Daphnia pulex: one gene and its partner. The main gene of each other region encodes a partner of the protein of the gene in region 2 in a complex. Links are inferred from orthologs where the notes say so. Each region holds a gene or a part of one and is shown on either strand. Other genes may lie near its edges.

Region 1 (3,139 bases), on a different chromosome or scaffold from region 2:
CCTTTAGCTCAGTCTCTACTACTATCATGTAATAAAACAAATTTATACATTTAGTAAATCAATGAAGGTGAGTTTGTCTAATGCATTTCCGTTATTCTCAGGTTTTCAGTTTGCTTACACCACCCTTTTCGGAATGTACGCCGCATTTTTATTTATTCGAACGGGTAATGTTGCCGCTCCGTGTGTTGCGCACGCATTCTGTAACGTGATGGGTTTCCCCGATTTCGGTGAGATTGGCCGACTGAACGGTTGGAAAAGGATTGTGTTGGCTTCAGCTTTTGTCGTTGGGCTATTGGGGTGGTATTTCCTACTCTGGCCTTTAACAGAACCAACTCTTTATGATAATAATCCTTGAGTATTAAAGTTTTCTCGACGCGTGCTTTTTCTGAGTCATAGAAATATACATTGCTGCTTCAGTTTCTTTTAAAACAGTTATGCATTTATTCATGCTCTTCCAGTCTTCCCGGATCCTGAAAAATTAGAATCAAATTTTTTTTCTACCCTACGCACAAAAGAAATAAAAAGATGTTGTTTTCAATATTCTAATAAAATTTAGTGAATAAACTCTTGACACTATTATAGAATAGGAAAAGGCTCAAATGTTTTAAATAGTTGTATTAATTAGAATCCAGAGGAACACTGTGTACTCCATCCAAGGGCCGCAAGATGCTCCACCCGTGTTTCCTCGTAACAGCGATATACTAGAAATCGAATGTGCGAATAACTTGTACGTATCTTCGTCATGTATGAATCAGGATATTTTTAAATCGATCCTTTTTTCATTGGAAACTCAAATAGGAAACTTTAAACGAGAATGTTTGGTTGCTAAAAGAGATTGTGGGGTGGTAACTGGCACGTTTACGTCGTACCAAGTAATTTGAGACAACATTTTTAGATCTAAACAATAAACTTTGACTTGGCACAGATGTCCGACTATATATAACTATGTGGTTTGTTATGCTTCATTATTTGTCGAATTAAATTGTTCACTAGAATTGTGCTTTTCGCAAAAGGAAGATATTTGGTTTTTGTGTGTGGGTTGACGTATTAATTAATCTTCATCGGAACCGTCGGGAGAGGCGAGTTGATCCCGCCACCAGTCCTGAACCTCAGTAACGGCCGATGCCACGCGAACGGCCAAAGCACTGGGTGGTGCCAACGGCGGAAGCGGATGGCCAGAGCCGCGGCTTGACCAGTTGGAAGAAGCACCGCCACCAATGCTCGAGTACGGGAAGACAAGGCCGTGCTGGCCACCTGTTGTTGGACTAGACAAATTCAAAAAGCCAGTCATTTAAATGTTCACGATTTAAATCAATAAAAATAACGTCTCACCAAGTTGGACTGGCACCAGGACTACACTCGCCCGCCGAGTGCGAAAAACTGGAAGAAGGAATCCCTTTTCCGGTACCTGTTGAATGAAAAAGTATCCCGATTACAGCAATCTATTCACGGGTCCTGTAAACATAAGACTTTAATTACTTTGACGTGATGGCCTCTTCTTCGGATTGGATGAAACGCCCAGCCTTTCCTTGTCGTAGGTGGATCGTTGCTGGGAGATTCCATCGGCGCCGTGGCAAGGAGCGTAAAACAAGCGTCGACCGCTGACGCTGTTGATGCTGTCAGAGCGTGTGACCAGCATACCCTTCCGACGATGTTTGCCACTTCCTTCCGCCTCCTGCAATGCCCAGTTTCAATTTAGTACCGCCAGAATTATGTATATAACGCAATTGATCACACCTTCACTTCAGAAATATCTCTTTCGGCACCTCCAGCGTTGAATTCCCGGTTTTTTTCTTCCTGGGCCTCTTGAAGTTGGTCGTTGGTAGCCCGCAAACCGGCCAATAAGCTATTGTGCTCCTTCTGTAAGATGAACAAATGAATCACTAAATTGCGTAACGTCAGGGGAAGGGAAAGACACCAAAAAAACAACAAAAAAATAGGGGGAGAACAAACGGTGTCGTGAATATTCACAGTCTTCATTCGTTTCAAGCACGAATCCAGCCACTGGCGAATGGTTTGCTTGGCCACTTCTTCTTCGATGATGTACTCAAGCTCTTCACGGGCCAAAAGCTCTTCCAGTTGCAGCGACTTGCGGATGTCCACCGAACGATACGACAGCATGCTACATTAACAATTAAAATATAGCGTTGATTAAATATACGTAACAGAAATAGGTTTCTAATTTGAATTGTTTTACTTCAGAACGTCGTGGAAGGTGACATCTTCTCCGTTGTGTAGTCGTTCTAACTCGAAGCACATGTGCTTGAAAAGGAGCCTAAAAATTAATGTTACAAGTTGAAGTGAAACATTCGTTGTCAAAATTATTTGATGGAATTATATTAAATCGCCTACCGATCCTTTTGAGGATCGACTTCGAGACGGCCTTTGAGTAGACGCAGGACAAATTTGACTTTCCGTACGGGAATAACACCGCGCTGGTTGACGTCCACAATGTTCCACGTATTTTGGAAATTGCGGATGTCGGCGTAGGAGAGAAGGGCGTCCTCTTCGTTGGAATAGAAGAGGGAAAAGTTCTCCATAATAATCGCTAACCCAGAAAAAGAATAGGTTTTAGTTATCGGAGGATGCACTTGGTATATCAAACCCCGTACCGACAAGAAGGTTGAGAACGATGTACGTGATGATAACGTAAAAGGAGCAGAAAAAGATCATGGCAGCCGTGAAATTGCCGCAATCCGTTTCCCAATAATTGGCGCCCGGTGTGCAAAACGGCGGCAACACCATGCAGTCGTGCATGATTTTGTACCAATCCTCTCCCGTCACAATACGGAACAGCATGATGATGCCCCTAGGCGTGCTGCCAAAGTTGGCTTGCCTTTACAGACATAAAAGAAGATGAAATAATTCTCATAAGAATAATAACTTTATGCCAATAATTAATACCTTCCAACACTTTCGCCGTATTTGACCGTACCGAAGAGCAGACAGCCGGTCAGGGCATAAACGAAGATGAGCAAGAACATGCCTGCATTCGACGGAAAGAAATAAACGACATCGGTATAAAATTGTGTGCTAAGAGATGTAGATTGTACGAGGTATTATAGGTACCCATAATAATGAAAAAGCTCTTGTAGACGGAGACGACCACGGTGAGCATCAGCATTTTCAACGTGGCGTG
Region 2 (3,657 bases):
GGTAAGACTAGAATGAGTCGCGTACAGAAGATTTCCAGCTGAGCGAATAGAGGGGTCCAAATCTGGGCACTCAATTCGAGCGGCGGAAGACACTCGATATAGCAGGCCACATTGGGCAACATCATGGCGATCTGGGCTGGCGACAACTGTTTTTGCTCATTCAGTGACTCGAGCAACAACTGGAGCGGTGCCGCCGGAGTCAGTTCAACGAAATCCGTCAACGCCGATGCCATCGTCTTGAAGAAAGACTGCTTCATCTCTTCAGGCACTTGAGTCTGGAATAATTGGATGAAGACCTTGTTTGGTGTGAGCTGATGCAACAGGCACCGGAGAAATTGGCGAGCAATCGCACCAACTTCACCGGGTACGTACAAATTGCTACCCATTTGCCAGGTATATGTCGTACTTCCCGCCCACCTATAAGTTTAAATTTAAAACTTAGCTTCACATCATGTTAATTTCATAGCAAATAAAAATTGAGGTACTTTGCGTTACAGCGGAGAATTTCTGGTAGCATAGTAGCAGCCAAAGCAGGCTCGCGATGAACGAACGTCGATATAATGACGATACATAATCCGAGTTCTTCTTCGCTGAATTCTTCAAATGGTGCGTTGCATTTGGAACAACGGTGACACGCCACTTCGTCACCGACGCGAAGACAGCTCTGTTTCATGGGCGTATGTACTGCGTGATTGACAGGGGCTGGATGAGGTGCTGGGGTTTCAATCTGAGGCTGTTGTTGCTGACGGTTTGATTGTTCGGTGGATAGAAACGGAATTTCGGGACCCATGGTTCCCATAGAGATGCCCATTTTTCTCTGTCGAGTTCTGACTCCCGTAGGTGTCGCTGTGGCTGCTGCGGCGGCGGCAGCGGCGTCCGCTGCATTGACCTGACGGTGCGACACAATTGTATGGGCTTCATAGACACCCGATGGTTGTCGGACACAGGCCGCCAGCGATACTTCTGACGCTGCAGTGGCGGAATTCGGTTCTTGCTGTGACATTTCTGAGAGAACCTATTGATAGAAAAGACCCAATGATTACATAAAGGATGAAACTCGGCGTAGAAAATATTTACCTCGACTTCAGCAAGTGAATCTCGATCCCAATCAGGATCCGGCCGACTACTCTTGGGACTCTCAGGTATAACTTCAAGTTCTATGCCATCAACGTCAGCGTCGATGTCACATTCACTAGAGATACTTCCAGTCAACTCACGTCGGGACGTCAATGTGACGTTAGATTTCTGTAATAGCGGAAAAAGAAATCAGCAAATAATTCGTCATCAACGTATTAGAGATAAGATTTACCGTTGCAACTTGTAGCTGAATTTGATGTTGAATTGTAGAGGAGCCCCAGACCAATCCAGCTATGCCAAGAACAGCTCCTACACCGTGTCCAATGACATTTGCTCTTCCTAAATAAATCAATTTTAAGCATAAACATTTAAAAATCGTTCAGCAAATCGCTGAATCCTTAAATAAAAACCTTTTAGATCTGTTGGATCAATGGGAGTCTCTACTTCCAAAGAGCCTTGACTCTGGTCTCTCATCCTCATAGTTGCAGTTGAAGAGACCCCATGGAGTTGATGCTGCGCTGTCGATGGATGGCCGTGACTTAAAGTGGCCCCAATACCACCGTAGCGATAACAGCGATGGTATTGAGATTCCAGAGTGTTAAGAACGATCCGGATGATGCTCTGTACTAACGGAGCTAAATTCGGTTGGTTATAACGATACTGCAACAATGCAGAAGAAATATTTAATAAAGTTGGCCCAATCTTTTTCATAGTAAATAAACAAACCTTGTAGAGGATTACTAACACTGTTTGTAGCCACATCCGTCGAGGATGAGTTTCCAAATACCATAGGGAATAGGTCGGTTTGTAGGCTCTTTGTGGAGTCGTGCCGTTGTGTCGATCGTTGACGCTAAGTAATTGAAGGAAATTAAATAATTTCAAAATTGATCAAAGGATGGTGAACTTACTTATTCGAAGCTGCTGCAGCAGCTGAGCCGGAAGCGAAACCAACGCTACTCATGGATCCGTGAGTTGTGATGGGCACACCAGCTTGCCCATGACATTGTAACCACGAATTACCTCCAGGACCGTTGTTCTTTGACGGCGGGGCGGGGCAGAAAATCATCAAAGATAACGTCATGGGCAGAAGATTGGCTCCGATAGCTAAATTACGATCCAGAACTTGCGGAAGAGCCGAGAGAAAGGCGTTGAAAGGAGCCGATGCTCTGAGTTTCTGTGGTGTCAAACAGAAAGCTCTTTCGGTGGGTCCGTAGCCCAGCAAAAGACTCAAATGTCGAAGGACCAGGTTCTGAATTTGCGATTGGAACTTATCGTCGCTCAACTGGGCGAGATCTGGCTGCGCCAGGAATTGCATCAGCGTAGTCAACAGTAAAGAGTGGGTTTCACCATCGTAGTCGTCCAGTTCCGAGCAACGTTGCATGAAGAGAGCAACGTAGGCTTCTTCTTGAGACGCTTGTTGATTGTTCATCCTGTCGCCACCGAGAGCGCCCCTGGATCGCATCAACTTCAACTGGGCTGAAGAACTTTGTCGGCTGTAACTCTTGGTCACTCCGTGCTGTGGGTGATGATTGGGTGTAGACTTTCGGCGATTGAAGCGATGAGTTGACAGGCTCAACGACCGCATCAAGCTCCTCGGTTGCTGTTGAGTCGGCGAACTAGACCTGCTAGGAGCGTAGCGCTTGATGGCCTCACGAGCTTTCTGCAATTTCTTGTTGAAGCTTTCGTTTGACATGTGACTGGACTTGAGATCTCGCGGTTCAATCAATTCCCCGGCCCGCTGTAGGCTCAACTGGGCTTCCAAATACAGAGCGTCGAAACGATTGAAAAAGAATTTCCACGAAATGATCTTGCGTTTGGTCAGCCAAGGGTGATGATGCAGGGCCATAATAGAGTGCAACAACAGAGGTCTGTCGCTGATGAAACTGTCAAACTGCTGTTCCATACACCAAACGAGCAGTTTAAGCGATCCATCGTGCAAGCTCTCGAGGAGTATGGTTGCCCGGTTGGCTACAGCCGTGTTGATATCGTCCATTGATGAAATGAGGAAACAAAAGGCGTTGGTCAGGATCGACTGTAAAATGGAACTCTGTTTGACGGTGGGATCGTCCAGAAATTGGCACACCAACATCATCCGCTCCACGGATGAAAAGCGAGTCTTCCAATCGCGCGAGTGGAAATCCGATTCCATAATTTTCCAGAAGACATCCGATCCACCCGGAAGAGTGAGACAGTGCAGCAAGAGAGAGGCACACGTCTGGGCGACGTGCGATGTTTGACTCTCGAGGAGATTCCAGAGCTGGGCCACGGTGAGGTTTTCTTGAACCCAAAACAGGAAGCCTGGATGCTCGCGACAGGCGGATTTACTGAGCACCTCGCAGTGTAGACAAAGGATTTCGACGCAGCGGAGTAGATGTCGCTGAGTGTCCGGTCGGATCAAGTGGTAGAGCTCTTTCAGGAATCCGTAAATGAGTTGGAGGTGATTCGGCAATTCATCCAGCGCAAATCGAAATTTGCCGGCCGTCGTCACCCAATATTGTTGATTCGGCTGTTGATGGTCTGGATGATCCATGTGGTCTGAAGGATCCACGTCCGTCAACATGCTCGGCTGAGCTACTTGGG

Evidence for each region.
Region 1: the proteins of protein unc-79 homolog (region 2) and sodium leak channel non-selective protein-like are in contact, whole or in part, in a cryo-EM structure (PDB 7SX3), measured with the Homo sapiens proteins. The link is inferred for Daphnia pulex from reciprocal best matches to the Homo sapiens genes UNC79 and NALCN. Residues at the interface, in NP_001333147.1 of Homo sapiens: Cys861, Gln862, Ile865, Glu968, Pro969, Asp970, Phe1020, Gln1022, Pro2088, Asp2089, Ala2092, Pro2093, Leu2095, Leu2096, Met2099, Leu2139, Pro2141, Asn2142, Gly2143, Ile2144, Gln2147, Leu2148, Ser2151; in NP_001337678.1 of Homo sapiens: Gln349, Met350, Phe351, His352, Glu353, Gly358, Trp359, Gln360, Leu361, Phe712, Ser713, Ile714, Arg717.

The regions. Positions count from the first base shown.
Region 1 is NC_060028.1:1,975,360-1,978,498, reverse strand, and holds the end of sodium leak channel non-selective protein-like, read right to left. Parts: coding exon 3,070-3,139; intron 2,987-3,069; coding exon 2,905-2,986; intron 2,837-2,904; coding exon 2,613-2,836; intron 2,549-2,612; coding exon 2,353-2,548; intron 2,276-2,352; coding exon 2,198-2,275; intron 2,123-2,197; coding exon 1,738-2,122; intron 1,676-1,737; coding exon 1,480-1,675; intron 1,409-1,479; coding exon 1,333-1,408; intron 1,266-1,332; coding exon 1,052-1,265; 3' UTR 601-1,051; downstream 1-600. Other genes in the region: CAAX prenyl protease 2-like, read left to right, coding at 1-28, 102-355. UniProt on the Homo sapiens protein: Voltage-gated ion channel responsible for the resting Na(+) permeability that controls neuronal excitability. NALCN channel functions as a multi-protein complex, which consists at least of NALCN, NALF1, UNC79 and UNC80.
Region 2 is NC_060021.1:6,773,586-6,777,242, forward strand, and holds part of protein unc-79 homolog, read right to left. Parts: coding exon 1,986-3,657; intron 1,928-1,985; coding exon 1,804-1,927; intron 1,738-1,803; coding exon 1,488-1,737; intron 1,417-1,487; coding exon 1,310-1,416; intron 1,246-1,309; coding exon 1,078-1,245; intron 1,016-1,077; coding exon 486-1,015; intron 418-485; coding exon 1-417. UniProt on the Homo sapiens protein: Auxiliary subunit of the NALCN sodium channel complex, a voltage-gated ion channel responsible for the resting Na(+) permeability that controls neuronal excitability.